Linked DNA regions of Saccharomyces cerevisiae S288C. Changing the gene in region 2 together with the main gene of any one other region gives a genetic interaction. Each region holds a gene or a part of one and is shown on either strand. Other genes may lie near its edges.

What was found.
Region 1: mutations in PGM1 (region 2) and EDE1 together harm fitness more than expected from each alone (negative genetic interaction), as found in Saccharomyces cerevisiae (2 studies listed by BioGRID).
Region 3: mutations in PGM1 (region 2) and PPZ1 together harm fitness more than expected from each alone (negative genetic interaction), as found in Saccharomyces cerevisiae (2 studies listed by BioGRID).
Region 4: mutations in PGM1 (region 2) and TUS1 together harm fitness more than expected from each alone (negative genetic interaction), as found in Saccharomyces cerevisiae (2 studies listed by BioGRID).

Annotation. Positions count from the first base shown.
Region 1 is NC_001134.8:127,316-137,197, reverse strand, and holds EDE1 (Ede1p), read left to right. Parts: upstream 1-5,157; coding exon 5,158-9,303; downstream 9,304-9,882. Other genes in the region: ECM13 (Ecm13p), read right to left, coding at 1-510; YBL044W (uncharacterized protein), read right to left, coding at 832-1,200; ubiquinol--cytochrome-c reductase subunit COR1, read left to right, coding at 1,682-3,055; PSY4 (Psy4p), read right to left, coding at 3,449-4,774; RRT1 (Rrt1p), read right to left, coding at 9,588-9,882. UniProt on the Saccharomyces cerevisiae protein: Functions at the internalization step of the clathrin-mediated endocytosis (CME) as an early-acting scaffold protein. Requires clathrin adapter proteins, ENT1/2 and YAP1801/2, for normal spatiotemporal dynamics and viability.
Region 2 is NC_001143.9:201,544-205,753, reverse strand, and holds PGM1 (phosphoglucomutase PGM1), read right to left. Parts: upstream 2,214-4,210; coding exon 501-2,213; downstream 1-500. Other genes in the region: serine/threonine protein kinase YPK1, read right to left, coding at 1-47; PMU1 (putative phosphomutase), read left to right, coding at 3,983-4,210. UniProt on the Saccharomyces cerevisiae protein: Minor phosphoglucomutase isozyme that catalyzes the reversible interconversion of alpha-D-glucose 1-phosphate and alpha-D-glucose 6-phosphate. The mechanism proceeds via the intermediate compound alpha-D-glucose 1,6-bisphosphate.
Region 3 is NC_001145.3:236,322-243,913, forward strand, and holds PPZ1 (salt homeostasis regulator), read right to left. Parts: upstream 5,216-7,592; coding exon 3,137-5,215; downstream 1-3,136. Other genes in the region: PSP2 (Psp2p), read left to right, coding at 267-270, 633-2,410; TATA-binding protein-associated factor TAF11, read right to left, coding at 5,668-6,708; TRM9 (tRNA (carboxymethyluridine(34)-5-O)-methyltransferase), read left to right, coding at 6,904-7,592. UniProt on the Saccharomyces cerevisiae protein: Essential for the maintenance of cell size and integrity in response to osmotic stress.
Region 4 is NC_001144.5:979,236-988,626, reverse strand, and holds TUS1 (Rho family guanine nucleotide exchange factor TUS1), read right to left. Parts: upstream 5,734-9,391; coding exon 1,810-5,733; downstream 1-1,809. Other genes in the region: RING-type E3 ubiquitin transferase MAG2, read right to left, coding at 1-199; TDA5 (Tda5p), read right to left, coding at 514-1,414, 1,486-1,565. UniProt on the Saccharomyces cerevisiae protein: Guanine nucleotide-exchange factor (GEF) for RHO1 that stimulates the exchange of RHO1 GDP-bound form into GTP-bound form. Required for signaling of cell wall defects to RHO1.

The DNA.
Region 1 (9,882 bases), on a different chromosome or scaffold from region 2:
TGTGTGAGTCAAATATTGATAATTAGGTGCGGTGTGAAAACTAAAGTACATGTCAATTTTCTTGTTATAATCACCGCCAGAGTAATCGTACTCAAAATCATAGTCTTCATAATCATCATCGTCTTCACTGTCAGTAGAAGATAGAGTGTCAGCATCTGGATCTTCGTCACTAGAGTAAAAATCACAGTAATCTTCACTTTCTATCGTCTTTTCTGCATTTTCCTCCTTACCGACGTCATTTTTACTAGCATTAGCATTGGACAATTCGATATGTTCGATGGACAAGTTTTCAGGTCCTTTACTGAAAGGGTCTCCGGCAAGGGCGTTGGTTGCAGCATTATGAGTTTCCACATTTTCTGTAATCTTATCCAGCAAGTTTGCGTGCCCGACTAAAACTCTCAGGTTGTAGTCTTTGTTTTTAGTAGTCACGCTAACGCATTTTGCCAGCTTGGAGCGTACTTTGCTGGCCAAAATATATTGATCTTGAATCGATGGGGTTGTAGAGTTCATTATAATCGCAGTATGCGGAATTTTCTATGTGAGAAAAACAATAAATAATTGTGAAAAAACTTGGATGTATAGTGTAATACTATAAAAAATTTCTGCTGGTATGTAGCTGTCTTTTTATTTTTTCTTTGGTCATACAGGGCTGTAAGCAGAGAAAGTCGAACAAAGACGTAACACCAGAGAAAGAAACTTGAATGCTTTTGTTAGATATATATATATATATTTATACATATGCCTCTCGCTAGAGGATATATCGCCGCGGAGCGCAGCGAACTACATCCGAAAACATCACAAATAATGCATGGGCAACCGGATACATTGCATTTAGTTTTGCCTTTTTTTCCAATTGTCACAGCTTCCTCGAAGTTTCTGACCCGGTAAAACGTGCGAAATGCCTCTTCTAATGCCGAAACAAGGGAAACCCTTAAAGCTTCCGTGCAAGCTGACCATGCCGGTCCGCACTTCGGGTCTTGTCCGTCGCCCGTGATCCAATAGGATACAACTACAAATCTGGGGTAAAGTCCGACTTTCGGCCCGCCGTGCGTTACTGCATGTTACATCACTATGGTGGGGACGGAAAATCACAGATGAGTCAGCTTCGTGATTTCCTGTTTCGGTGATGCTTGCAGTATACTTCAAATACTTCGCTTTACTTGGCAACCTTTTTTTTTGCCTCTCTAGCATTTCACCCATACCCACCAGGGGGAAAAAGAAAAGAGAGATTTTAAAACCAGATATTCTTTTTCACGATTTACATAACCCGGACTGGGTAGGGTAACATGTATATGAACTTTAACTGTGACCCGGACAGCACGCTTTCTGCACCAATGAAATGCCAATAAATTAACAGTGTTTTTTGTCCTCCAGAAGTTCAAGGGCCCGCGCTGTCAGCTGCACCAAATAAAAACCAAACAAGAAAATTAAAGGCCTACAGCGCTCCCTAACCGATATTCCCCTACTCTCTTTCCCCGTCTTATTCGAGGAAAACAGCGTATAATAAAGCAATAGCTTTCACAGAAAAAATATTATATCATCCCTGTTCGTATAGGTAACGAATCCTAATATTAAATTGCTACCATTGCTGATCAAGACAATTGTGGAGTAATAATACGAGAAGAACATCATCGTCACCATATCACTGAGAAAGAAAACACAAGATATATAAACAAAAAAAATGCTAAGAACAGTAACTTCAAAGACTGTATCTAACCAGTTCAAGAGGTCTTTGGCTACAGCTGTAGCAACCCCCAAGGCCGAAGTAACGCAATTATCTAACGGTATAGTTGTAGCCACTGAGCATAATCCTTCCGCTCACACAGCCTCTGTCGGTGTTGTCTTCGGCTCCGGTGCTGCCAACGAAAACCCTTATAACAACGGGGTTTCCAATTTATGGAAGAACATCTTTCTATCCAAAGAAAACTCTGCTGTTGCCGCCAAGGAAGGTTTGGCATTGTCTTCCAATATCTCCAGAGACTTCCAATCTTACATTGTATCTTCTTTGCCAGGTTCTACCGATAAATCACTAGACTTCTTGAATCAGTCTTTCATCCAACAAAAGGCTAATTTGCTATCTTCTTCTAACTTCGAGGCCACGAAGAAATCTGTCTTGAAGCAAGTTCAAGATTTTGAAGAAAACGACCATCCCAACAGAGTTTTGGAACATTTACACTCCACCGCCTTCCAAAACACTCCATTATCTTTGCCTACTAGAGGTACTTTGGAGTCCTTGGAGAATTTAGTTGTTGCTGATCTGGAATCTTTTGCCAATAACCATTTCTTGAATTCAAATGCTGTTGTTGTTGGTACCGGTAATATCAAACATGAGGATTTAGTAAATTCCATCGAATCCAAAAACCTAAGTTTGCAAACCGGTACCAAGCCCGTACTCAAGAAAAAGGCCGCTTTCTTGGGTTCCGAAGTTAGATTGAGAGACGACACCTTGCCAAAGGCGTGGATTTCGCTGGCTGTGGAAGGTGAACCTGTCAATTCACCAAATTATTTTGTTGCTAAATTAGCCGCCCAAATTTTCGGCTCATACAACGCCTTCGAACCCGCTTCTAGATTACAAGGTATCAAATTGTTAGACAACATACAGGAGTACCAATTATGCGACAATTTCAATCATTTCTCTCTTTCTTACAAAGATTCCGGTTTATGGGGGTTCTCTACGGCCACGAGAAACGTTACCATGATTGACGACCTCATCCATTTCACTTTGAAACAATGGAACAGATTGACCATTTCTGTCACTGATACTGAAGTTGAACGTGCCAAATCGCTGTTGAAATTACAATTAGGGCAGTTATACGAATCTGGTAATCCCGTCAATGACGCTAACTTGTTAGGCGCAGAAGTCCTAATCAAGGGCTCCAAACTGTCTCTGGGTGAGGCTTTCAAGAAAATTGATGCAATCACAGTCAAAGATGTTAAGGCTTGGGCCGGTAAGAGATTATGGGACCAAGATATTGCTATTGCTGGTACAGGCCAAATTGAAGGGTTATTAGATTACATGAGAATCAGAAGTGACATGTCCATGATGAGATGGTAAGATGTGTGATAATATATTTTCCATGCACATAAAATAGAAATAAGCAAGCTGCTAGATGTATACAGGCACGCTCGCACACTCACACCATAAATGAATTTTTTACATGTATTTTATATTCTAGTAACCCAAGTAGTCTTCATTATTTATTGGCAAGGTCACTGTTCCTTGCAAAAGTAGAAAATAAAAAAAGAAAAAAAAAGAAACTCGTAAGAAAACAAGATTAAATAAACGTCTTATTTTATATAAGTGTATATATATATATATATATATATGTGACCAAGATCCTGAAGAACTATCGATTTTAAAAATAAGAAAGATGAACTTTTTTTTGGTAAAACATATTTAATGATATTATGCAAATGGGAAGTTGTTGGTAGAGAAGTCATCTCTCGATCATCTGGACTTCTTGCCTAATGGACTGCTAATATTCTCACGGTAGGTAATACCAGCAATCGCAACCATCTTATCCTCTTGTGAAGAGCTCATCGATGGACTCACTAATTCGTCACCTGGTAACAGTCCTTCACTTCTACCCTCATGGTTTTCATGAGCATCCTCTTTCTCCTCCTCCTGGCTCGATGAGATCTCATTACTGCCGTCCATGGCATTGAGGAGCGAAGACGATGGCGACTCTATTATGGAGAACCTGCCCGTTGCGGTATGTTTATATTTCTTTGGCGTCGTGAGATCCATGTTTGTGAATGATGGTGATTCGTCATATTCAAAGTTATCTAAATCTGTGGGCTTCCTCTTCCTTGGAGTTTCATTTTTCTTGTCAAAATTTTGCACCTTGGTACTTTCGCCCGCCTGCCTATCTTCGTCATCATCTTCATCGTCATCTGTGCTGCCCATGTGATCATCATCCTCATCATCTTCATCTGCACCATCTTCACGATAATCGTCGTCGTTGTCATCGTCATCTTCATCATCGCTATTATTCTTCGTAACATCGCTCTGACAATTTTGTCCTTTATTATCGCTATTATCATCGTTTATCCCGCAATCATCCTCATAGTATTCTTCCACCATGAAATTTTCATCTTTCAGCAAAACATTACGCTTACTCTTATTCCCCATCTCCCTATCTTCATCACCATCAAAAAATCCTTCCTCTTCATCCTCGTCATCGTAGCCTAGGTTGACACTCATTATAGAGTCGATTTCTCTAATAAAGGGTGCCAACTCCCTAGTATTGTTTTCGGTCATCCACGGTATCTTCATTAGTGAGACATCTTCTTGATTCTTGATGAAGTTAATATCTTTCTCCTTATCGTCCTCTTGCTTCTCACCGTGTGTTTTATCAAAAACCTGCCAACTGCTAGTTACCATGCAACATTTTTCTAGCGCATTTACAAACTTCTCCAATTCATTGATCTTGTAATATTTGAAAGGATCATAACACAATTCGCATATCCGAAGTATTGTGAATGGAAATGTATGATTTTGTAAAAAATTATCATTCAGAAACTTACCCAGCCAATTTAATCTAGTAACGAGATTTCTCGCATCGTTCATTTCATTCTTAAGGTTTATAAATAGGTCAAACGGTATTGTTTCAGTGATATGCCGGATTAAATCAGGCAAAACTTGCTCGGGACCCGCCGTCACCAATCGCGTCTTGTCGCCCTGTTTCACCACATCGCTAAGTAATTCATAAAGGCTGATAGACTTGATACCCATCATATTATTATCCACATCATCCAACATCGTCGAGCTCATAGCTTTTTATTGTGCTTTGACAATCGATGAGAACACCAACAAAAAATGATAATAGGTATTGTTAGCTGTGTCAAAATACATGCTTTTGATCGCGAAATGAAAAACTACACAATCATTACCCGTCGGCGCTTCGGAGGGGGATTAGATTTCTCCTATAATCAAAATCTTCAACTATTACAAACCCCTTTTCAGAAGCACATTGAAAACAACACACAACAGAGCACTTTGTGATAGGCAATAGAGTGCTTTTAAATAGAGAATTACTGGTTCTCGCGAAATAATATAGCGCGTTGAAACTAATAAATAGATTCGTGAAGCTCTAGATCTATCTTTTTTCCTGTTTTTATCTGTGTGTTTTCAATAGGATTCGAACGATATAGGCCATGGCATCTATTACTTTTAGAACTCCATTATCCTCTCAGGAACAAGCCTTTTATAATCAGAAATTTCACCAATTGGATACGGAAGATCTCGGGGTGGTCACTGGCGAGGCAGTCAGACCGCTCTTCGCGTCTTCTGGTCTTCCAGGGCAATTACTATCGCAAGTGTGGGCTACCGTCGATATAGACAATAAAGGGTTTTTGAACTTGAACGAGTTTTCGGCTGCTTTGAGAATGATCGCTCAATTGCAAAATGCTCCCAACCAACCAATTTCCGCTGCCCTATATGAGAGCACACCTACTCAACTGGCTTCTTTTTCTATAAATCAGAACCCAGCCCCTATGCAAAGCGGTAGTGCAACCGGCAATACAAACAACACTGATATTCCTGCCTTATCCTCAAATGATATTGCTAAATTTTCACAACTGTTTGATAGGACAGCAAAGGGTGCTCAAACTGTTGCTGGTGATAAAGCCAAGGATATATTTTTAAAGGCAAGATTACCAAATCAAACTTTAGGTGAAATTTGGGCTCTTTGTGATAGAGACGCATCCGGTGTCTTAGACAAATCTGAGTTTATAATGGCCATGTATTTGATCCAACTATGTATGTCTCATCATCCTAGTATGAACACACCACCGGCCGTGTTGCCTACTCAGCTGTGGGATTCTATTCGTTTAGAACCTGTTGTTGTTAATCAACCAAACAGGACTACTCCTTTGAGTGCTAACTCCACTGGCGTATCTTCACTAACAAGACACTCTACTATATCACGTCTATCTACTGGTGCATTCAGTAATGCTGCTTCAGATTGGTCTTTAAGTTTTGAAAAAAAACAACAGTTTGATGCAATTTTTGATTCATTAGATAAGCAACATGCTGGTTCGCTAAGCTCTGCTGTGTTGGTTCCATTCTTCTTATCCTCTAGATTAAACCAAGAGACGTTAGCCACCATCTGGGACTTAGCTGACATCCACAACAATGCTGAATTCACCAAATTGGAATTTGCTATTGCCATGTTCTTAATTCAAAAAAAGAATGCTGGTGTCGAATTACCGGATGTTATCCCCAATGAATTATTACAGTCCCCCGCTTTAGGACTTTATCCGCCAAACCCACTTCCTCAACAACAAAGTGCACCTCAAATTGCCATCCCCTCAAGAGCAAGTAAGCCTTCTTTACAGGATATGCCACACCAAGTTTCTGCCCCAGCAGTTAATACTCAACCAACAGTTCCACAAGTTCTTCCTCAAAACTCAAATAACGGTTCTTTGAATGATTTACTGGCTTTGAACCCTTCATTCAGCTCTCCTTCTCCCACTAAAGCACAAACTGTGGTTCAAAACAACACAAATAATAGTTTTTCATATGATAATAACAATGGCCAAGCAACATTACAACAACAACAGCCACAGCAGCCTCCACCTTTAACTCACTCCTCCTCTGGATTGAAGAAATTTACTCCCACCTCAAACTTCGGTCAAAGTATAATCAAGGAAGAACCAGAGGAACAAGAGCAACTAAGGGAATCCAGTGATACTTTTAGCGCTCAGCCTCCGCCAGTTCCAAAACATGCTTCAAGTCCAGTCAAACGTACAGCTTCAACAACACTGCCACAAGTTCCCAACTTTTCTGTGTTTAGCATGCCAGCAGGCGCTGCCACTAGCGCTGCCACTGGTGCTGCTGTAGGCGCCGCAGTGGGTGCTGCTGCTTTAGGCGCATCCGCTTTTTCAAGATCTTCCAATAATGCATTCAAGAACCAGGATTTATTTGCAGATGGTGAAGCTTCTGCTCAGTTATCTAATGCTACCACAGAAATGGCTAATTTATCTAACCAAGTAAACTCCCTGTCCAAGCAGGCAAGTATAACTAATGACAAAAAGTCAAGAGCGACCCAGGAGTTGAAACGTGTTACTGAGATGAAAAATTCCATTCAAATCAAATTGAACAATTTACGTTCTACCCATGACCAAAATGTTAAACAAACGGAACAACTGGAAGCACAAGTACTTCAAGTAAACAAAGAAAACGAAACATTAGCGCAACAGTTGGCTGTATCCGAAGCAAACTACCATGCCGCTGAGTCCAAACTCAATGAACTAACTACTGATTTGCAAGAATCTCAAACAAAGAACGCAGAATTAAAAGAACAAATTACGAATTTGAACTCGATGACAGCCTCCTTACAGTCACAATTAAATGAAAAACAACAACAGGTCAAGCAAGAAAGGTCAATGGTAGATGTTAATTCAAAACAGCTAGAGTTGAATCAAGTCACAGTAGCAAACTTGCAGAAGGAAATCGATGGTCTTGGCGAAAAGATAAGCGTTTACTTAACTAAACAAAAGGAGTTAAATGACTACCAAAAGACCGTGGAGGAGCAACACGCACAATTACAAGCTAAATACCAGGATCTGTCCAACAAGGATACTGATTTAACGGACCGTGAAAAACAATTGGAAGAACGTAACAGACAAATTGAAGAACAAGAAAATCTCTACCATCAGCACGTTTCTAAATTGCAAGAAATGTTCGACGATCTATCACAGAGAAAAGCTTCTTTTGAAAAAGCTGATCAAGAGTTAAAGGAGAGAAACATCGAATACGCTAACAATGTGAGAGAGTTATCCGAAAGACAAATGAATTTAGCTATGGGACAATTACCTGAGGATGCTAAGGACATTATTGCGAAAAGCGCCTCTAATACAGATACAACAACCAAAGAAGCCACATCAAGAGGAAATGTTCACGAAGACACTGTATCCAAATTTGTCGAAACTACTGTTGAGAATTCAAACTTGAATGTTAATCGGGTTAAAGACGATGAAGAAAAGACAGAAAGAACCGAAAGTGACGTATTTGATAGAGACGTTCCAACTTTGGGATCTCAAAGCGATAGTGAAAATGCCAATACAAACAACGGCACCCAGTCAGGAAATGAGACAGCAAATCCAAACTTAACTGAAACATTAAGTGATAGGTTTGATGGTGATTTGAATGAATATGGTATTCCAAGAAGTCAATCCTTGACATCGTCTGTTGCAAACAATGCTCCTCAATCCGTAAGAGATGATGTTGAGCTACCGGAAACGTTGGAAGAACGTGACACCATCAATAATACTGCGAATAGAGATAATACTGGAAACTTATCTCACATTCCTGGTGAATGGGAAGCTACCCCAGCTACCGCTTCTACTGATGTTTTGAGCAACGAAACTACAGAAGTTATTGAAGACGGAAGTACCACAAAAAGGGCTAATTCAAATGAAGACGGTGAGTCGGTCAGTTCTATCCAAGAATCTCCAAAAATCTCTGCTCAACCAAAAGCAAAGACAATAAATGAAGAGTTTCCACCAATTCAGGAATTGCATATTGACGAAAGCGATTCATCCTCTTCAGACGATGATGAGTTTGAAGATACCAGAGAAATTCCATCAGCAACAGTGAAGACCCTTCAAACTCCCTATAATGCCCAGCCCACATCAAGTTTGGAAATCCACACGGAACAAGTCATAAAATATCCCGCTCCAGGCACTTCTCCTTCACATAATGAAGGTAACTCAAAAAAGGCAAGCACCAATTCCATTTTGCCTGTTAAGGACGAATTTGATGATGAATTCGCAGGGTTAGAACAAGCGGCTGTGGAGGAAGATAATGGTGCTGATTCGGAATCTGAATTTGAGAATGTTGCGAATGCTGGGTCGATGGAGCAATTTGAAACCATAGACCATAAGGATCTCGATGACGAACTACAAATGAACGCTTTTACAGGGACGTTAACTAGTTCCTCTAACCCAACTATCCCAAAACCACAAGTACAACAACAGTCAACCAGTGACCCTGCTCAAGTAAGCAACGATGAGTGGGACGAGATTTTTGCTGGATTTGGTAACTCCAAAGCTGAACCAACCAAAGTAGCTACCCCAAGCATTCCACAACAACCAATTCCATTGAAGAATGATCCTATCGTTGATGCTAGCTTGTCAAAAGGTCCAATAGTTAACCGCGGGGTTGCAACTACTCCAAAGTCTCTAGCCGTCGAGGAGTTAAGTGGCATGGGATTTACTGAAGAAGAAGCGCACAATGCCTTGGAAAAGTGCAACTGGGATCTAGAAGCCGCCACTAACTTTTTGTTGGATAGTGCTTAGTCTGTAATGGACCATTTCGTCTTCTTTTTGTACTTCTTCCTCGAAGCTGAATCATATTTACCCTTTTCCAGGATCGTCCTTGTATATTGTGAATTATTCTAAAAGTAGAATATGTTGTACTTTAAAATTGTTATAGTTATCATCATCTATTTTTCCATTTTATAAAATTTTTACGTTAGACAGTTATGTATTGAAACTGCTTCATAAGTTTTGAAAATCATCCCAGTTTGGTAAATACACTAACCAAAAAAAAAAAAAGCTCTACCACATAATCTTTGGGCGTATTACAACATGGGAAACACGACATTATTGAAAATACAAAAAAAGTAAAGTAAGACTCGTTCAGGGCATAAGTCAATGGCCCTGTAAGAAAAAACAAAGTAGCTAGGCTCATAAGAGATTATCTGTTTAATTTTCTTTGAATAAAAAAAAGTATAAATCGATAAGATAAAATACCACAATGAAAAAATAAAGGCTACTTGAAAACAACTGGACCAAACCAAAACCCAATTAACCCAGACCAGTAATGAAACACGAATAGAAATATACCCAATCAAAATAGAAGGAAGAAAGACCAGA
Region 2 (4,210 bases):
TCTTCTTTAGATTTTCCAAACTTAAACTTTGACTTCCAAGAATACATTTTCAGGAACTGTATTAATGTTTGTTGATATGAGAGGAACTTTGAAGTGTCAATTTCCCGCTGTATACAAAGAAATTGTAGAGTAATCTATATCAAAGAATATAAAGGCTTTGAAATTTAACCAAACACAAACAAACCAATTCTAAAAAGTATGGGAGCGAAAAATAACTCAACTGTTGTTGGTATGACGATAGTGTTGATTACCGTTGGCTCGTTCGGGATAAGCATTTTTTAAGCCTTCCAATAGGGGCATGTTTTGATCTTGTTTTCCTGTAGCGCGGCTCTGCCGCGAAGAAAGTCGCGAGTAACGAAAAACAAAAACAATGTTGTATTATGAAGCTAATTGATAAGTCAATCAGCAAAAAATAGATATACTACATATATCCTCTACATATAAATTAAGATCAGTTAAAACATCTTTGGAAAATTAGTGCTTGTTCAAGACCAATAATTCTATGTGCGGACTGTTGGTTCGTCTGTTCCTAAAATTTCTTTAAATCTTAAGAATTTTACAATGGAGTTGATGACGGGTTTCAAGAAGACGTCAGCTGTTTGGCCATAGTTCTCCTTTTTATCAGTATACTTTTCTACGTATAATCTTATTGTTGCACCAGAACTGCCTGTGCCGGATAACCTCAAAACAAATTTAGTCCCATTCGAAAACTTTACGAAAAGGCCTTGATTTTCAGAGATGGAGCCATCTAGATCTCTATACGAAAAATCACCACAATCGATAACGGTTAAAGACTCATCAGCTGGGAAGTGGGAGCCACAAACGTTTGGCCTTGATACAAATTCACTCAAAAGAGCTACAACTTTTTCGGCCTGCTCGCATTCGATATGTTCGTAATCGTATCTTGTGAAGAAAGTACGGCCATACTCGTTCCAAAATTCGTCCTGAATAGTTTTGATCGAAGCTTCCTTTTCAGGGTTACGCCTATGGTAGATAGCCAAGATATTTAACCAAGCAATAATGGCCCATAGACCGTCCTTTTCTCTGATATGATTGGAACCTGTACCGAAGGATTCTTCACCACAGATTGATAGCTTTTTAGCATCAAATAAGGCACAGAAGAATTTCCAGCCGGTTGGAACTTCGTAACATCTTAATCCCTTTTTTGCTGCAACACGATCAATGGCTGAGGATGTAGGAAATGAACGTGCCAAGCCATAAATACCTTGTTTGGCGAAGTATGGAATTTCGGGTGCATATTCGGCAATAATGGCAACAGAATCACCTGGCGAAACGAAAGCAGGGCCATAACCGTAAATCATATTCCTATCACCATCACCATCGGAGGCTGCTCCAAAGGCAATTTTTTCGCGGTCAACCCTGTCAACAAGAGTTCGTGCATAGGTTAGATTCGGATCGGGATGTAAACCGCCGAAATCAGGTAAAGGGTGCCAATTTTGAAGAACTTCCTCTGCCGGTAAACCAAATTCATCAACAAATATAGCCTTACCATATGGTCCTGTAATACCATTTAAGGAGTCAAACAACAACTTCCACCCTTTGTCTTTGCGCTGTTTCGCTAAGAAGCTTTTAATTAAGTCAAAATCAAAAATTTCCTTCAGAAATTGAACGTATGCTTTGGCAGGATCAATTATGTCCACTAACAATGGGCCATATTTTTGGTTTTTACCAAGCTTGTTCAAATTCAACTTGGGGAAGTTCTTTATAATTTTATAGTGAGTTAATTTTTTAGACGCTTCCCAGATAGCGTTAGTGACACTCTCTGGAGCTGGCCCACCATTAGGTAAATTATACTTGATACCTAAATCATTCTCTGGACCGCCTGGGTTGTGTGAGGCAGTTAATATGATACCACCACCGGTACACTTTTCCTCGTATGTTCTAATTATATGAGAAGCAGCTGGTGTTGAAAGTAAACCGCCTTGACCAATGACTAACTTTCTGACACCGTTTGCAGCACCTACTGCGGCAATCTTGTTCATGATAACATCGTTGTAGAAACGACCATCTCCTCCAACAACTAAAGTGGTTCCCTCTGAGCCATTAGGGATAGATTGCATTGTTGCTTGAATGAAGTTCTCAGTATAATGAGGCTCATCCATGAAAACCTTGGTCTTCTTACGTAAACCTGAAGTACCCGGTTTTTGGTCCTTATAAGCAACTGTTGGTACAGAATCTATTAGAAGTGACATTTACTATTCAATTGAGTTGTTAGTTACCTATTTTTGCACTATTGAACCGAAAGTGGATGAGAGAGAGAATGTTTATAGGTAGACCAAAATCGATGTGATGCGCCCTTCTCCTTTTCTTGCATCCGTAATATAAACGCGAAATACCAGGTAAAAAAAGACAAAATCTCAAATAGCGAGAATGCCGATTTTAGAACATCATTTTTCTATTTACAAGTATAGCATTGTCGGTACTGAATGCCCTTATTCCTCATGACAGACTGAAACCACCGTGATACAATTGTGGTAACGTCATACATTTGACATTTATCAGGGGAAGACAGAGATCCTCTACTAGGTCATATGCGGGATAAAAAAATCTCCACGTCAATAGTGTAAAATTGTAAATAAAACTGTGGGCATTGCTGTTCTCGAGAAAAGCTGCCACTTGTGTTTGAACGGTGTCGGCTTTAGCATCCTGTTTTAAAAAGAAAGCCCTGTAGGGGGCTCGAACCCCTAACCTTATGATTAAGAGTCATACGCGCTACCGATTGCGCCAACAAGGCTTTTAAACGTGATTGTGTTGTATCTCAAAATGAGATATGTCAGTATGACAATACGTCACCCTGAACGTTCATAAAACACATATGAAACAACCTTATAACAAAACGAACAACATGAGACAAAACCCGACCTTCCCTAGCTGAACTACCCAAAGTATAAATGCCTGAACAATTAGTTTAGATCCGAGATTCCGCGCTTCCACCACTTAGTATGATTCATATTTTATATAATATATAAGATAAGTAACATTCCGTGAATTAATCTGATAAACTGTTTTGACAACTGGTTACTTCCCTAAGACTGTTTATATTAGGATTGTCAAGACACTCCGGTATTACTCGAGCCCGTAATACAACAGATTGATACGACCGTTAGAAATCGATAATAGATTCTCTATAATAGGCTCATTATAATAACTACTATCCCTAAATTCACCTATTTCTCCATATCATGTACGGCAAGTTTTTTTGAGAAGAAATTTATTGTATTTTATACTTCACAATAATGCTTTTAGTAAGATGGGATCAGAACAATCATTACAAAATTTCATTTATAGTTCAGCGATAATGTTCTGAAAAAGTTTCAATTCAATTCACGTGAGGACAATAACACTATGTACAGTAGATAACTTAAAAGTTCTTCTGCCGCGTTTTGGATAATTTCACGAGGGGAAATGGACAATTTTACTTAATACTGCTACCATTTCTTCCCTCGTTTATATCCTTTCATTCATTGCTGGGTTTGCATGGTCAGTCCTTACTAATTAGCTTCCTATAAACTCGATGACAGTTAGGACGCTCACGGACAATTATATTCTGAAAACACAAGTAATACTATTAATCTTTTGTACCAACAATTGATTAATACCAAACTCTTATTCCAAACAAAAGAGGTTCGTACTTAGCCGGTCAAACCTGGGCTGCGAAAAAGTCCGTGAAAATTAAGAAGAGGCTCAGTGTTTTCAGATGAAAGCGATTAAAATTTACAGATATTATCTTCTATTGCGTGGTTGTGCAACGTTTGAATAAATATTTGTAATCCTAATTTCTTGCAGATTCGGATATGACCCAGCAGGCATGTGCGAGTCAAGTTAATTTTTCGGGTGCTAGCTAGTACTGGAAAAAGTAAAAAGTGTCATTTGCAAAAAAAAACCCTCGAGAGATTTGTATGTTATTTAACGATTTCTTTCCAAGACTCTGCTGCGTGAAATCACCAACAGTTATTCAACAATGTCACTCAGAGCAGTCCCAGGATATTTTGCTGCATATCCAAGTGAGGGTTTTCAAGGATTAGACTCCACGAAATATGATCACTTAGAATTGATTAACCATAAGAATTGGAAGGAACTGTATCATGCTATCCCTAGAAATACCAAAAATCGCCACTATAAGCTGTTGATTTTAGCTAGGCATGGTCAAGGTTACCACAATGCTGCCATACTGAGGTACGGTATGGAG
Region 3 (7,592 bases), on a different chromosome or scaffold from region 2:
GGGTTAAGATTAGAGTTTTATAGGACTTGTTTTGTAATATTTCAAATACGAGCTAACCCTACTGATTTCAATTAGGTCTAATTTAGGGTTGAGCTGCACTGAAATTTCGGAAATTTTGGGTTATTTTAAATGAGACAGAAGAACTACAGAGATACGTTCTTCAGACTTTAAAGCTTATCTCCACAAAGAATTGGTCAAGAAATCATCCTAGAAAAACACGTTTGCTCACTCGATCTTAATCACATAGAGTGCTGGAACGGGAAGAAATGGGTATGTGCCTCGGTTTTTCTCATTAACCCCTTTTGATCCATAACGGTCCTCTTTTGTTTCCTTTTTTTTTTTTGTTTTAGTATTTTATGTTTACTATTTTCTTCTGTTTCAGTCATACGTAGGAATTATTGCATGAAAGAGGATATAATATTCATGTGGATTTTTAAGAAAATAGATCAAGTTTAAATAGCCACTAACAATTGAACAATGCTCTCTCTTGGCCTCTTTTCTTCTTTTTTATCGTTTCTCTAAAAATCAAGCTGATTAGACATGGTCTTGCAATGTTTTTGCTTTCTCTAATCAGCTTGGTTTTCCGCAAAGAAGAGAAAGTCACGGAATTGTCTACATATGTTTCTATTCAGGAACAAATAATACATCTAATAATAATGGCACTACGAAGAAAATGTCCCTAGAAGAATTTCTAGGGAACGACACTTTAGGCGAGTCAGTATGGGATGAGGAAGATATTAATTTGGATGCTATAAGCAATACTACGAATATTGACATCTTGAAACAAACCAAGGCAGGCGAACATCAACGTGATGGTCACCAACAGCACCCACACGGTGGTCATGGACCCATGAACAGATCACGTTTTTCTAATGCAGGGCCTTTTGGTGGTGGTAGCATGGGGGACTTTGCAAATCATCACCACCCGCTGCAGCATCAGCAAGGTCCTCCTTATATTGTGAAGTTTTCTGATTTACCACCGAGATTTTCCAACTTTGACATTGAAGATCTTTTTCAAGCAAAGTTTACCAAGTTTATTAAGTTCAAACTGTTTTGGGAGATAAATAAAAATCCAAGTATTTCTACTTTGAAATCGGGGTCAATCTTTGATCAAAATTTCAAACGTGACTCGAAGGTAGCATTTGTCGAGTTATATACATCCCGTGATATGGACAAAATTTTGAACTATTGGACCACTCCTTTGAAGGAAATTTACCACATTACAACAGCGCCCGCAGAATTCGAAGATTTTAAGGATTACAGCACGAAGGTGAAATTATTAACAGACCCTAAAGACGATGCTGGCAAACCATTCATTACTAAGACTCAGCGGTCAAAATCCAATCCTTTTGGAAGTGCTAAACCGGTTGATACGCAATCGAAGATTTTGGACATTGAAGAAAAAATGGAAAATTTACACGTGGAAGATACAACAACCCTGAGGGCATCATTAATCCCTAGTAGTGATTCTATGGCAACCACTGCAACAGGCAGCAAGATCACAATCTTGAAAAAGCAGACACCTACAGAGGAGGAATCACATTCTGCAACCCCAACTCCCAAACCTTTAAGTTACTCTGAAGTAGTTGAGAGATCTGTGGTCAATGAAACTTCCAAGAAAGGAACTCCATTAAGCAAGCTTGACTCACCAGCTCTTGAACTACAATCTAAGCCCGATAAATCGGACGAGTTCAAAGGTGGCGATGAACAAGGCTTTGAGAAAGGTGGCGACGATAAAGCTCAATTAGATGTCTCAAATGATAAAGATAAAGGTTCAGAAACCGATGTTGATAAACAGTTCACTTTCAAGAATGTGGAAAGGGAACATAGTATGAGCAGAACCAAATATAACGGAAACCATAATAACAATAATGGCAATTTTAGAGGGAGTAATAGATATCGTGGAGGCCCCAATGGCAGCAGTTATAAAGGTGGGCATAACAATCGTGGTAATCGCGGCGGATATCGTGGTGGCAGCTCATACAACAACAACAACAACAACACTAATGATAATAATAATAATAATAATAATAGTAGTAGTAATAATAATAACGGTTCAAGATATCATGATCGACAAAACAATGAAGAAGGGTTAACCTCGGATTCATCTTTAGATGCCTCAGGAAATAAAAAGAATGATTTCACGAACTCAACATCCAATACACAACAATATTCCATTTTCAAACCAGCAAGTGGGTTCCTTGGCCAAGGTAATAATGATTCTATAAGGAACAATGGACGCGGTAACTATAACAGCAGCGGTATGAATGGAGGTTCGAGAGGAAGAGGATTTGGCAGAGGAAGGGGATTTGGCAGAGGCGCATATAACAATCGAGGTAGTCGTGGTGGACGTGGAAGCAGCGGTAACTACTCCAACTACAATAACAGAACAACAGACATGCCTTTATGAGTCATGTACTGACCCATTAATTTTCTTTTCTCTTTTTTTTTTTTTTTTTTTTTTTTCCTCTATTTCCTTTTTTTGTTCTAGTCGGTTACGCAGTTCTGAGTAATGTAATATAGCGTTCCTTTTCCTCTCAGATTTTTTTGACCTTATTTTGTTTCCACTTTTTACTACTTATGCTGCTTTTTGTCCATTTCCCCTTCAGTTGTTTTGAATTTTTTTTTTAAAAAAAATTCGTCTTTCTGATTAATCAATTTTGATTATATATTTTCTCTTGATTAGTTCACAATTTTTATAGGCCCTTATTTCTTAAAGAAGTTTTATGAAGTTTCGTAAGTATTGGGGGGGTTGAAAATAATCTCTCACGTTATACGCAATAAAAAATTAAAATTAAGGAGAACCAATCTATAGAAACGAACCATTGAATTTAGCTATATGACTATATACCATTACGTAATTTATATAAACAGCTTAATATAGCGAAAGCAAAGTAGAACGAAATTTCGGAGAGTTCTAGATTGTATAGAGCGAATGAGCATTCAATACACACGCGAAGGCAGTAGGCGATGAAAGGAAGTTTTTTAATGTCATTAAGAAAAAGATAGGGAACTTCTATTTCCTGTCTTTCATATATATATATATATATATATATATATATATGTGCATATGTACATCGTTGAGTTGTTCATGAAATAATGAATATAATACTTCTGGATTTTTTAGTCAGTAAATTTACTGTTGAGATTCGTTATCATTTGTGATGCTTGTTTCCATCATTTGCTGTTGTTGATTAGCCAGTTTTCTTTCCTGTCTACCTTTCTTCATAACTTGCTTCAAAGCTGCACTATCTAGTGGATCTAACAATTCAAAAGAGCACAATAAACCTTCGCTGACGCTCATTACAGCCCCCCAATTATCAAATTCACCACAATAATTTGGCGCGGAAAACACCGTAACGAGACTTCTATCATTGAAAAATTCATAACCGTCTTCCACAACCATGTGAGCTCTACAAACCAAATCAAACCCAAACTTGTTCAAGAATTTGTTAATTGCCACCTTATTATAACAGTAACTTACACCACGTTCGTTATCCTCCCATTCGTTGGGTGAATCTGTGGGATCGGACCACAAAAGATCATTAATTAAGCCAAAATCTGGTACATCAGTAGGCCTAACTACATGTCTGATTTCATCCATAGAATTTAAAACTGGCGACAATCCACCATGAACACAAAAAATCTTTCCGGCTACGATAGCAGCTAATGGTAATGTATTAAAAGTATCGATGAATGTCTTCCAGATCTTGATGTTACAACGACGTTTACATTCATCATAAAATCCATAAACCCTTGTGACGTTAGCACATTCATGGTTGCCTCTCAATAAAAAGAAATTTTCAGGGTATTTTATTTTGTAACAAAACAATAGTAAAATAGTCTCCAGTGACTGTTTACCACGGTCCACATAATCACCTAGGAATAAATAGTTCGAGGATGGTGGGAACCCACATTTGGTAAAAAGCCTTAAGAGATCCCCATATTGGCCATGAACGTCGCCTACAATTTTTACAGGAGGTGATAATTCTAATAAGGAAGGTTGAGAAAGAAAGATTTCACGAGCCTTGATGCAAATCTGTAAAATTTCATTGTTCTTCAAACAAACATTTTTTGTTCTCTTAGCAGCGTAGCCCGCATCCAGTAATTTTTGGATAGTTTCATCAATATCGATAGGCTTTTTGAATTTTTTTGGAGCGTTTTTGTTTCCGGAAGATTGCATTATATCATTAAATTCCTCATTCGGATCTTTTTTGCTATCTGTTATATTATTATTTTTATCATTAACATTTTCCATTGATGCATGGATATTACTCAATTGAGATGAATTTTCAATGTCATCATCATTGCTGATGTGTTTGCTCGGGTAAATATCGCGACTTGAATGGTGATTCAATGAGGAGGTTGAATTAGAGGTAAAGTATTCACCAGAGTGATCTGTTAGCTTGGACAAGCCTGGAGAGTTTAATGGGGTGCTGTATGCGGTATTACCATCTGATCCAAACGAAGATTTCCTACTGTGTAGCGAAGATGCATGAGAATTTGACCGGGTTAATGCCTGAACGAGATAATTCTCCTGATTGTTAGAGGAGTATGATCCATTGTTAGGCTCTTCATGGGTCACATCTGATTTCCTTCTTGACACTGATCCGCTTCTTATACTGGACGGACGAGAATTCGAAGATCTAGAAAACCTTTTAGTGTGCGAGATGTCGTTGTCTTTATCATCATTGTCATCATCGGTTAAGGCGTTCTCATAATAGGTAGATGAGTATGAAGATTTATGCTTGGATACGTGTGTGCTACTATTGTTTGTTTTTAAAATGGGTGACTTGGGTTCCATTTGGATCATTGAAGGTGGTAAATCAGCAGCAGCCTTAGTATTATAACTTGATCTTCTAGAAGTAGAAGGCCTCTTAGTAGAGGATGATGAAGGAGTAGTTAACAATTCGTTTTGAGAATTTGAATGCGAGTGTGAGCTAGATGGGAAATGGTAACGATTCGTGTGAGAGCTATGTCGTTGGTGATTAACCTCAAGATTGGGCTTTGATGGAGTGGAGGGATCAGGGACGTTTGAATTAGTATTCGTAGTGGACGAAGAAGGAAGAGATCGCCTTGATCTTGAAGATTTATTTGATTTTGCAGACTTCACAGAATGGGAAGTCTCGGTTCTCGACACTTGAGGACGAGGATTTCTCGAGGAGGAATTCGAATGTGAATCCTTTTTCGAAGATTTTGAACTTGAATTACCCATTTTGAAAAGGAAGGAAAGATAAGCAGAGAGTGGTTGATTTGTTGTTTTATGACAAAGCCTCTAGGGGAAAAGAAGCGACTATAACGATGAAATAAAAATAAAACGATAAAGAAAAGTATAATCAAATGTATTCCAAAGAAGTACTTTTATATATAATCTTTATATTTAACTTGAAAGAAAAAGATTTAACATGTATTGCCAAAACAAACAAAACTAATAATGGAAGCTATTGTATTGTGCTTTTATGTTACCCACCTGCCAATGGTTCACAAGAGAAAGCTGATTAACAGAATTAGAAGATCTGCAGTAATCGTTTTCTTTTTTTTTTTTTCATTAATTTATATGCTATCCTTTTAAAAATAGACATGTCATTTCAAACGACATGTTAAAAATTATATATATGTTTATATATAGATTGATATATGTTGGAGCCGTTGGACAATTATGGGCAGCTATCTGAACATGGATCCCTGCCCTTCTCCTTGAGTTCTCCAGTAAGCGTTAGGCAAAGTGTCCGACTGCAGACGGTAGAGTCTCCACGCCTCACGGATGTGTTCGGGCAATAAGGGACTGTTGTTATATTTCTCGATGCTTACATCTAGTTTGTTGAATTGGAGGACGAGCTTATTGTACTGCTCGATGAGTTGTAGCTTCAAGTCCTGTGAATTATGGTCTGATTGCTGTAAGGATTTGGACTGTAGCAACGAGTTGCCCAGCGTAGTTTCGCGCTTGTCTACTTCTTCATCGTCGAAGTAGAAATCAGGTTCGTCTTCGGGAACGCTATCGGATTGATAATCTTGCTTGTATTGCTGGTTTTCTATGATGGAGAAAGTCAATTTTTTTAGATATTTTTTCAATTTATAGCCTATTTTGGTCCTCTTATCAAACTCTATGCACATTTGACTTGTCAACCACTTATTCTTCACAATCATGGCCAATTCGATTATCTCACCAGCGTATATTTTTCCCACCGCTTGCAGAAAAACACGAATATTTTCACTTATAGTTTGATTAGCTACTGTGCTAGCCAGTTTTTTGACCTGGGTTTTGTTTAGGGATGTTCTATGGAAAACTTCAAACCGATTAGTTTGATCTTTATCCAAGTTGGTTACCAAGAGCTTGAATTGTTCGTCCTGCGCAAGTTTTTCATTTTCATCTTCGTTGGTATTGGTGTCTTCGTAATTGCTATTTTGTGTTTGCTGTTGTAAAATGTCTTGTGGAAAGATCAGGTTTTCTGGGACTTTGTTGATAGAGTCCGGGTCTTGCTGATTTATCCTGGTTTTCTGGTATTTGTATTTTGGATATTTATTTAATTGGTTGTTGATTGATGTACCACCCGTTCGCAGGTTTTGCAATTTCCACGTAACGTAGTCCTGGTCCTCACTGATGACTTGGTCAATCATTTGTTTTGTGGAAAAATAGTTTGCTATTGTCAGTATTGGCGGATAGTTCACTTTCGGGATGGTGTCCAAAGGACCTTGAGGTTCGGTCATCGTTGCGCTGTTGAAGCTCAAACTTACTTTGTGCTCTTCATTTATATGGATAATTATCTCTATATACCTCTTCTTGATTTTTCAATTTCTTTCAACTTTTCAGTCGAAGAAATGGGAATAAGAGAAAAAATTCGGTAATGAACTGAACAGAGATGAGGTCTCGAAGAGCCAAGAAATAAAAGGTTAAGAACCAACATGGAGATAAACCAAGCGGCTGAAAAAGAACAGGAGTATGTTCACAAAGTGTATAATGAGATAGCTCCGCATTTCTCGCAAACTAGATATAAGCCATGGCCCATAGTGACTCAGTTCTTGAAGACTCGCCCAATGGGTTCCATCGGTATCGACGTCGGGTGTGGCAATGGAAAGTACCTCGGAGTGAACCCTGATATATATATTATCGGTTCAGATCGCTCAGATGGTCTTATTGAGTGCGCCAGAGGAATAAACCCATCGTACAACTTACTGGTGGCAGACGGGCTGAACTTACCACACAAAAACGAAACATTTGACTTCGCCATCTCAATTGCTGTAGTGCATCACTGGTCTACAAGGGAGAGACGTGTTGAGGTGATCAGGCACGTTCTATCGAAGCTACGTCAGGGCGGACAAGCATTAATATATTGTTGGGCTCTAGAACAGGGCAGCTCCCGTAGAGGTTACCATGAAGGTATGGAGCAAGATGTCTTTGTCCCCTGGGTTCTTCCCAAGAGTAAATCCAAACCAAAAACTAAATCAACGCCGCCTGCTAAAGTCAAGACAAGGCCAAAGCCAAACTTAATGAATATTCCCCCAAAGGAGCGTTCCGAATACTTGCAGCGCTGGAAGGAGGAACAGCAACGCAGTAAGTCTCTTGATGATAACGACGAGAAGCAACAACAAGA
Region 4 (9,391 bases), on a different chromosome or scaffold from region 2:
TTCTGCGGCCTTCCCCGTGATAATTATGTGCATTATCTCTTCCATCAGAGACCTTATTCCCTGGTTTCTTTTTACTGACCGGATTCCTTTTATTATTTGAAACTCCTTGTTTACTACTGTTGCTGGTAGCATTTAAAGTATCCATCTCGGAACCGCCACTGCCACCACTTGCCTTCTTCTGCATGTCCGGTTCTACCATCAAAAGTGTTAAGATTAGTAACAGATTCTACTACTATATCTTTATTTTATCAGTGCACCGTGGTCCACATCCAACGGTGTTTACGATATAGCTTACCCCTCTACACGTGGCTTCTCAGAAGTGTTTATTATAATGTTTGCTTCATCACCTTTTTTTACACGGGCCTGAACGAGCACTTTTCAAAATACAATTAATGCCCAAAAATATGAGCAACGGTAATGAGGGCGTGCATAATTGCAAAGAATGTATAAGCAAACACCAAGGCTGTCTACTCGGATTCATCTATAAATATTCTATTTACTATGTATAGCTTTCTACTCGTCCGGGAGGCAGCAATCTATGCGAGAGAAGCTTCTTACAATGCGTTGTAGCGAATAAGGTACGCACATCAAAAGATGAGCAAAACTACAATAAAAGGGTTCATTTAGCTGTCCCCTCTGACCCAGCTCACAATAACGGACTATCTTGGCAGCTAGAGTAGTAATGTCTATTACAGGGGCAAAGAACTGGCGAGGAGGCTTGAATCCTGCAAACATTTCCGTATTCAGTTGCCCTGGGGTCACTAATAGTGTTCTGATATTTCTTACGCCTTCGTTTTGCAATTCAAAACTGTACGACTGATGAAAGGCTATCAATGCTGCTTTGCTCGCCGCATAAGCTGCTACTTTGGCCGGCGTCAATATGCCCAAAATGCTTGCGATATTGACAATATAACACTGTCTAGTTGAGTGTCTACTAGGGGCCAGTTCTTGAATGAACTGAAGTGGTGCAAATGTGTTTATCTTAAAAATCTTATCAAGATTATCCCGTTCCATGCCGTTGAATCCGGTGAAGTTGGCCCTTACTCCAGCATTGTTCACAATCAATCGGATTTCATTTTTATACTTTCTTTTCAACAAATTCAGTAGTGCTGCAACTTCTTCATCATCACTCAGGTCGCAGATGAGATCCTTCACGCGAGTATTCCTCACTGATGATGGGCATATGTCGACATTCAAGATGGTCAGGTTGCTGTAGTCTTGTAGGAGTTGAGATACTATGGCCCGTCCAAGTCCTTTACTTCCTCCAGTAATAAGAACTATGCCATTCTTAAATTCACGAAGGCTCTTCCAGGCGACCTGTCCCGACCGCTTTATATAGGAATTAGCAATGAGGAATGCATTTATCAGTAGTGTATAGATTGTTAGACAAATGCTTATCGAGTCGCTTAGAGACCTAGGTTAGTTCGTCATGTTAGTATAAAAAACGCTGTTTCTAACCTCATGCCTATTTTCTACTTTACATACCATCTCAATACAAGAGCTACCAGAAGTGGATAGCGCAGCAGTGGCAGAACTACCCAACGACACAAACAGTCTATATTCATCACCAGAACTTCACCTTTTCCTCACAGCCGTATTATCACATATTAATGTATCTGTTCTACTGATTTTAAAGAGCTACTTGTTATACGGCTAAATGCACTTCCGAGGGTAACCTGTTATTCAGGATTATATGAACAGAGAGAATAATGATGTGAGTTACTGCAAATAGCATAATTACTGGACTATATTCTTGTTGGCTTATATTATTACAACGATATTTACCATTAAAAGTGTCTATATCTTATATTATTGATGATCTGCCATTGCTACAGGATTGCACGCGACTAATAATTGTCTATTAAGTATATTTGGATGACTTAACACAAGAATTGTTTTCTCTCTCCTTTCTGAACTAGCCAGCTTTATCTTCTTTCCTTTTATGATCTGGACGGGAACCAATTCGCCTAGGTTCTGCTCAACATTTTTTAAGTCGTAAATCTGTATCAAATTGTCGCCAACGAGAATCAAATGATTACCATGGAAGCTCGCGCCGGTACAACAAAAATCAAGTAAGAGAATATCCTTTCTCCAATCAGACATCTCACCGTAGCAGTTTATTTTCACTACGGCTTCATCATAAACCAAGGCAAAAAAACTAGATTGTGATATTTGAAAAAAATTGACCGGTATAGCTTTGCAAGTGGCGATATCCTTTTTTGCTTCTTCAGTGAGAGATTCTATGGAGGGGCGTTTCTTGGAGTCTGTAGCACTTTTGAACGGTAAGCTATTCAAATGTGGATGCCTCAAGTGTGCCATCATATCTTTATCATTCAAAAAAGATGGTAAGACTATTCCGTTATCCTCGAATGAATCTTGATAAAGTATGACTGTTTTCTTTGTACACACAGCAAAACTTTTCCTGAATATGGCAATATCCTCAATTTCGTTATTCAGAATGTTATTACTTGAACTTGGGAGCTTATACTCTTTGTAAAATTTGAAATATTTTACTTGGTTTGTCAATTGATCAAATTCTGGTGTTAATATAACTATCTTCCCCTTTCTTTCAAAAAATAAATGTTTTGAGTTACCAAAATCATCAGCAATTTTGAAGAATCTCACCTTATCTCTGATTACTGTTCCCACAATGCAGTTTTCATCTAGAGTGTTTCCTTGCGCTAGGTAACGGCTCACTACCGTTGAGATATTAAAATAGCACAACTTTCTGTTATCCAATACAAACAAGAGCCCCAACTTAACATTGGCTTCCATTCTTTTGACGTCGTTTAATTCTAATATTTTAACGAAACCACTACCATAATCGTCTCTATATTTCACATAGATACCGTCTGTTGTAGCCACAAATAGGTAAATTCTGCCCTCGAATTTAACATCTTCACAACAAAGAATCCGTGTTGTCTTACTCCATGAACATGAATCTTTGTTTGCTTTTTGAGCGTAAGCTTTGAGTGCTACATCAATTTCTGATCCTTCCGGAGCTACAGGTAGATTCACCGGTGCATCCTTGTCGAAGTATGCGAACTCAGAGCTCAACACTGTAAATTCAAAGGCATTTAAATCATGATTTTCTGCATTTCTTTTAAAAGATTCCATGATAGCATCAATCCATTGGTTGAGTACTTCTGCACTTTCTGTAAAAAATTTGAACGATTCACCTGTGGCTGTATTTCTGATCTTAAATGAGAACTCGTCTGTGTTTGGATTCGCGTTAGAAATTTCAGTATTACTAGTCTTTCTATCTCCATACGCTGTTGACATGTGATTTCCAGAACTTTTAAGCAGAGGTCTCATGGAGTTAATCGGTGTCGAAAAATTATGCATTGGGGATTTATGTTCTTTCTGAGAGTAGTTTCTCAGAGGCTGTTTACTTGTTCCTGGAATTTTCCTTTTCTCGAGACTTAAATAATCTATTGGGATAGGTCTTTCAATAAGCTTATATTTTTGAGTTTCTCCTTTACTTATTTCCTCTGTAATCAGTAAGCAATTGTCCAATAATGCGATATACACTGGGGTTGGGTCCAGCCATAAATCCCTCTTTTTATAAACAGTGCCAGATAGTACTAACTTCCTTTCCGGATAAGTTAAACCAAGAGCTAGTTTATCCTGAATTGCATCATCGTCATTTGCGTTAGTACTACCACCGACGTTCACATAGCTTGTTGCATTACTACTATTAGTACTTAATACTAATTGTTTCGAAAACCTTACTAGTTTCCTATGGTCAATTGCTAATCCATGTACCTGATTAACTTCAAAGTTCAACTTTTCTACTTCCTTAATTACTATTTTCAGGTATTCATAATCCTCCATGGAAGGATCCGTGTTCTTCAAAATTGAGCGCAGAGTTACGGGCATGTTTTGTAAAGATTTGAAAAACCCCCCAAAGAATATAACATCATGATACATCTTCGATCTTGTAATTTCAACCGAGTTATCAATCTCCTTAAGCCATGTTACAAATTTCGTCTTGTTTTTCTTCTCCCACATTATGATTTCGTGTACCGTTGCCATAGCTTTCGCGTAATTCAAATATATATTCTTGGCTTCACCACACCATTTTGAATAGATTTTTCCAACGCCATCAATAAACTTACCTCTCGTTTTTAATTTCCAAAATATTGGCGTCAAAAGAAATTCGGTATGTAATTGTATTAGAGGTTCGAAGATATCAAATGCCAATGCCTTGAACTCAGGCTCATCTGGAAGTAGGGATTTGTCAAACCGTTTCCCATAGATTTCTACCGCGGCAGTAGCCATGTTTAAGGATCTTTCTTCTAAAATAATTAAGTCAAATATAAAGCTTTGTCTTTGTACTTCACGGGGATTAATTTCTGCTAAATCATCTGGAGTCAAGTGCCAGTATTCTGTCCAAAGTCCAACTGATTTATTTATGATTTCGGAAAGTTTTATTTCTTTTCTGAAGCCAGAGCTTTGGCCATGTGTGCAAACGTTGGAATAACAAATCAGGGAGTTTGTAGATCCATAAGTATTATCGATGAATGAATAGCACGGTAGTAGTTCGGTGAAAACACCAGTAATATCCAGCCCTCCCACAACTACGGCTACCTCTTCATCGTTAATGATATCGAATCTTACTGCTTTCTGGGAAATAAACGAAGCCATAATATTATCCACATTTGAGTCTATCGTATCTTGATCGAAATTTGTAGGCATTTGAAACTCTAAAAGTAATTGAACAATTTGGAAAAGATCGATTTTCGTGAAGACACATTCATTAAACCATTCAAAATAAACTTTCAAAATCCACTCATAAATAGCAGAAAGTTTGTAAACATTATCACATTGATAAAGCTTGTGCTCATCGATAGATTGAATTGAAAATGGTTGTGTCGGTGCAGTAATGCTTGGTGCTAATTCTAATGGCTTGGCTCCTAGTAAAGAGTTAAAACTACTTTGCCTGGCATTTGAGTTATTAAAAGTATAATCTGAGTCAGAATAAACACTTTCTAGGGCTTCTGATACTCGGCTATTCCCACTTACGTTTCTAGATGTTGATAGAGGCGGTGGTGGTTTCGTAAAAAATTCTGAGTCTTCATCATCAAAAGGAGATAGCAGAAGAGTAGTAGTGAAAGGAATTGGGGGTAAAGCTTTTTCTCTTTCATGACACCGTAGATCTGATTCATCAGAGAAGTGAGCCTGCTGTTTGCTACTATCTCTTGGAGATTTAGGGGAATTTGGACTAAATCCGTTCGCAAATGGTGATTTTAAGATCCTGGAATGGTTAGATATGTATTCCATGTGATGTCGTTCCTCTGAGTTTCCTATAAAGGATAGTTTATTAGGTGATCTTTCCCGGGACTGAGAACTGGGAGATACCATGGGTGAGTCTATCCGTATTGATTCAGTGGAATACAAAAGGGGTGGCGGTGGTGGTGGTCGTCTTTCTTTGACGTACTTTGTCGATTTGGGTGTGGATTCTGAAGAGCTAGTACCGTTTCCCCTTGCACTATGTTTTGATGTAAAGGTAAAAGCCTGAGGGACCGGGCTTTGGAATTGCTGGGTGTCACTGATTGGTGTCCAGCCAATTGAGATATTATCTGTTCCGTTATCAGAATCATCCAAAAAGGAGTTCCTCGTATTCAATGGTGGCAGTTTGGGCAATTCGATGCTCTTTCGTTGGCTTTCTTGACGGCTTACTCGTTTTTCTGGTGTTCGTTCAAAAGGGGAACTTCTATTATATCGATACATGTTAACTTGCTGCACTCAATAAGTTTTTTGTTTTAATGTTTATATTCGAAGTAGTATCAATTAATTGTTCATAACAGTGGCTGGAGGGGGTATACAGAACCACTAAAACCTCCAGAAATAATAGTTGAATAAAATATTGATGCAAGAAATGGATTTTGAACAGTTATATTGCGTACTGATCATCCTCTCTAGGGGTTGTTTACCTAAACGATGTGTTAACGTTTTCTCTAAATGATTTATATTGCGGCCTATGCGACGAGTCAGTATGAACAATAGAAAATCTTAAGAAGCCGTAAGCTAAAAACATCAAATGATTATAGCGCACCAACTGCTCGACTGGAAGCAGCGAAATTACGTATGTATGACCGAAGCTCAGTTAATTTTCTCTTAAGTAAAGACACAACCTTTAAATGTTGACTAACTGTGTTTGAGTAGGGGAAAAGTCCCCAAAAGTTGACGCATTTCCTTTGCATGACTGGTTTTGGAAAAGATTTCGACCTAACTCCCCAAAAAATTACTGTGAACACCTATCTGTGTAAATTTACGGTTGTTTTAGTCAAAATAGCTGTTATAACGTTTATCATAGTCCACTAAAACAGTATTTGGACACCGAACAAACTGTTTTCGATTAGGAGATTAATCGCATCTATTAAATAGCTTGATGTTTTTATTATACAATCTTCAACATTAGTTGTGATATGGAAGTTTAAAATACTGGCTAGAGACACTCGTTAGGGTTAAGGTAAATCGATAGCGGTAGTACATTATGGCATACATACCAAGATCGGGTAAAGCCGTTCCATAGTTAGATGCCTACTACTAAATGACGGTCTGAAATGGGAATTATATACGATAAATATCACAAATTGAGGAGATGGAATATAAGGATTAGCTGCTAATTATATGACAGGTTTATTGCGACGTTACTATATTACAACAGATGGCGGTTTTAGGGTAGTACCGCTTGCTTAATCGAATCAGATCAAATCAGAAGAAAAAGCAGGATCAGGCTTGAAGTACACGCTCAATGAACAAAAGCGAAAATAACCTTTTGTTTAGAGGTGCTTGTCATATCGAAATACTATATTAACTTTAAAATATTCCGCGCTACGTTGGGTGAATTAGAACTGACCAGGAGCATTTCCCTAATAAACTAAATTAGCGTGGCCACACTTTCAATCTTCGTGTGAACCTGTTGGAATAAAAATCAACTATCATCTACTAACTAGTATTTACGTTACTAGTATATTATCATATACGGTGTTAGAAGATGACGCAAATGATGAGAAATAGTCATCTAAATTAGTGGAAGCTGAAACGCAAGGATTGATAATGTAATAGGATCAATGAATATTAACATATAAAACGATGATAATAATATTTATAGAATTGTGTAGAATTGCAGATTCCCTTTTATGGATTCCTAAATCCTTGAGGAGAACTTCTAGTATATCTACATACCTAATATTATAGCCTTAATCACAATGGAATCCCAACAATTACATCAAAATCCACATTCTCTACATGGTAGCGCCTATGCTTCGGTTACTTCTAAGGAAGTCCCATCAAATCAAGATCCGTTAGCCGTTTCAGCTTCCAATTTACCGGAATTTGATAGAGATTCCACTAAGGTTAATTCTCAAGAAGAGACAACACCTGGGACATCAGCTGTTCCAGAGAACCATCATCATGTCTCTCCTCAACCTGCTTCAGTACCACCTCCACAGAATGGACAGTACCAACAGCACGGCATGATGACCCCAAACAAAGCTATGGCTTCTAACTGGGCACATTACCAACAACCATCTATGATGACGTGTTCACATTATCAAACGTCACCTGCGTATTATCAACCGGACCCACACTATCCGCTGCCACAGTATATCCCACCGCTGAGTACTTCCTCACCTGATCCAATCGATTCACAGGATCAACACTCTGAAGTACCTCAAGCTAAGACAAAGGTGAGAAATAATGTCTTACCACCACACACTTTAACATCAGAAGAAAACTTTTCTACATGGGTTAAATTTTACATCAGATTTTTGAAGAACTCTAATCTCGGTGACATTATTCCAAATGACCAGGGTGAAATCAAAAGACAAATGACTTATGAAGAACATGCGTATATATACAATACCTTCCAAGCATTTGCCCCATTTCATTTATTGCCAACATGGGTAAAACAAATTTTAGAAATTAATTATTCTGACATCCTTACTGTCCTTTGTAAAAGTGTGTCCAAAATGCAAACTAACAATCAAGAATTAAAAGATTGGATAGCTCTTGCCAACCTTGAGTACAACGGAAGTACATCTGCTGATACATTTGAAATTACAGTCAGCACGATCATTCAAAGGCTAAAAGAAAACAATATCAATGTTAGCGACAGATTGGCCTGTCAACTAATACTTAAAGGTCTATCCGGTGATTTCAAATACCTACGTAATCAATATCGTACCAAAACGAACATGAAACTTTCCCAATTATTCGCTGAAATTCAATTAATATATGACGAAAATAAAATCATGAATCTAAATAAACCGTCCCAATACAAACAACACAGCGAATACAAAAATGTTTCTCGCACATCTCCAAACACGACTAACACGAAGGTTACAACTCGTAATTATCATAGAACAAATAGTTCAAAACCAAGAGCAGCAAAAGCTCACAATATTGCTACATCCAGTAAATTCTCAAGGGTGAACAATGATCACATTAATGAATCAACCGTTTCATCACAATACTTAAGCGATGACAACGAACTTAGTCTTAGGCCAGCAACAGAAAGAATCTAAGCCAACACGCACAATAGACTCGAATGACGAACTACCTGATCACCTTCTTATTGATTCAGGAGCTTCGCAAACGCTTGTCAGATCAGCCCATTATTTACACCATGCAACACCCAATTCTGAAATAAACATAGTCGATGCTCAAAAACAAGACATTCCTATAAATGCCATTGGTAATCTTCACTTCAACTTTCAGAACGGCACCAAAACATCAATAAAAGCACTACACACACCAAACATAGCCTATGATCTATTAAGTTTGAGTGAGCTGGCTAACCAAAATATTACTGCCTGCTTTACCAGAAACACTTTAGAAAGATCGGATGGTACAGTACTAGCTCCCATAGTCAAACATGGAGACTTTTACTGGTTATCTAAAAAATACCTAATTCCTTCGCACATTTCAAAGCTAACAATAAACAACGTCAACAAAAGCAAAAGCGTAAATAAATATCCATATCCGTTAATACATCGAATGCTTGGACATGCTAACTTCCGAAGTATTCAGAAGTCTCTTAAGAAGAATGCAGTTACATATTTGAAAGAATCGGATATTGAATGGTCTAACGCTAGCACATATCAATGTCCTGACTGTCTAATCGGCAAAAGCACGAAACATAGGCATGTCAAAGGATCACGACTAAAGTACCAAGAATCATATGAGCCTTTTCAGTACTTGCATACCGATATATTTGGTCCTGTACATCACTTACCGAAAAGTGCACCTTCTTACTTTATATCGTTTACAGATGAGAAAACCAGATTCCAATGGGTGTACCCATTACACGACCGTCGTGAAGAATCTATCCTCAATGTTTTTACATCGATATTAGCATTTATTAAGAACCAATTCAATGCTC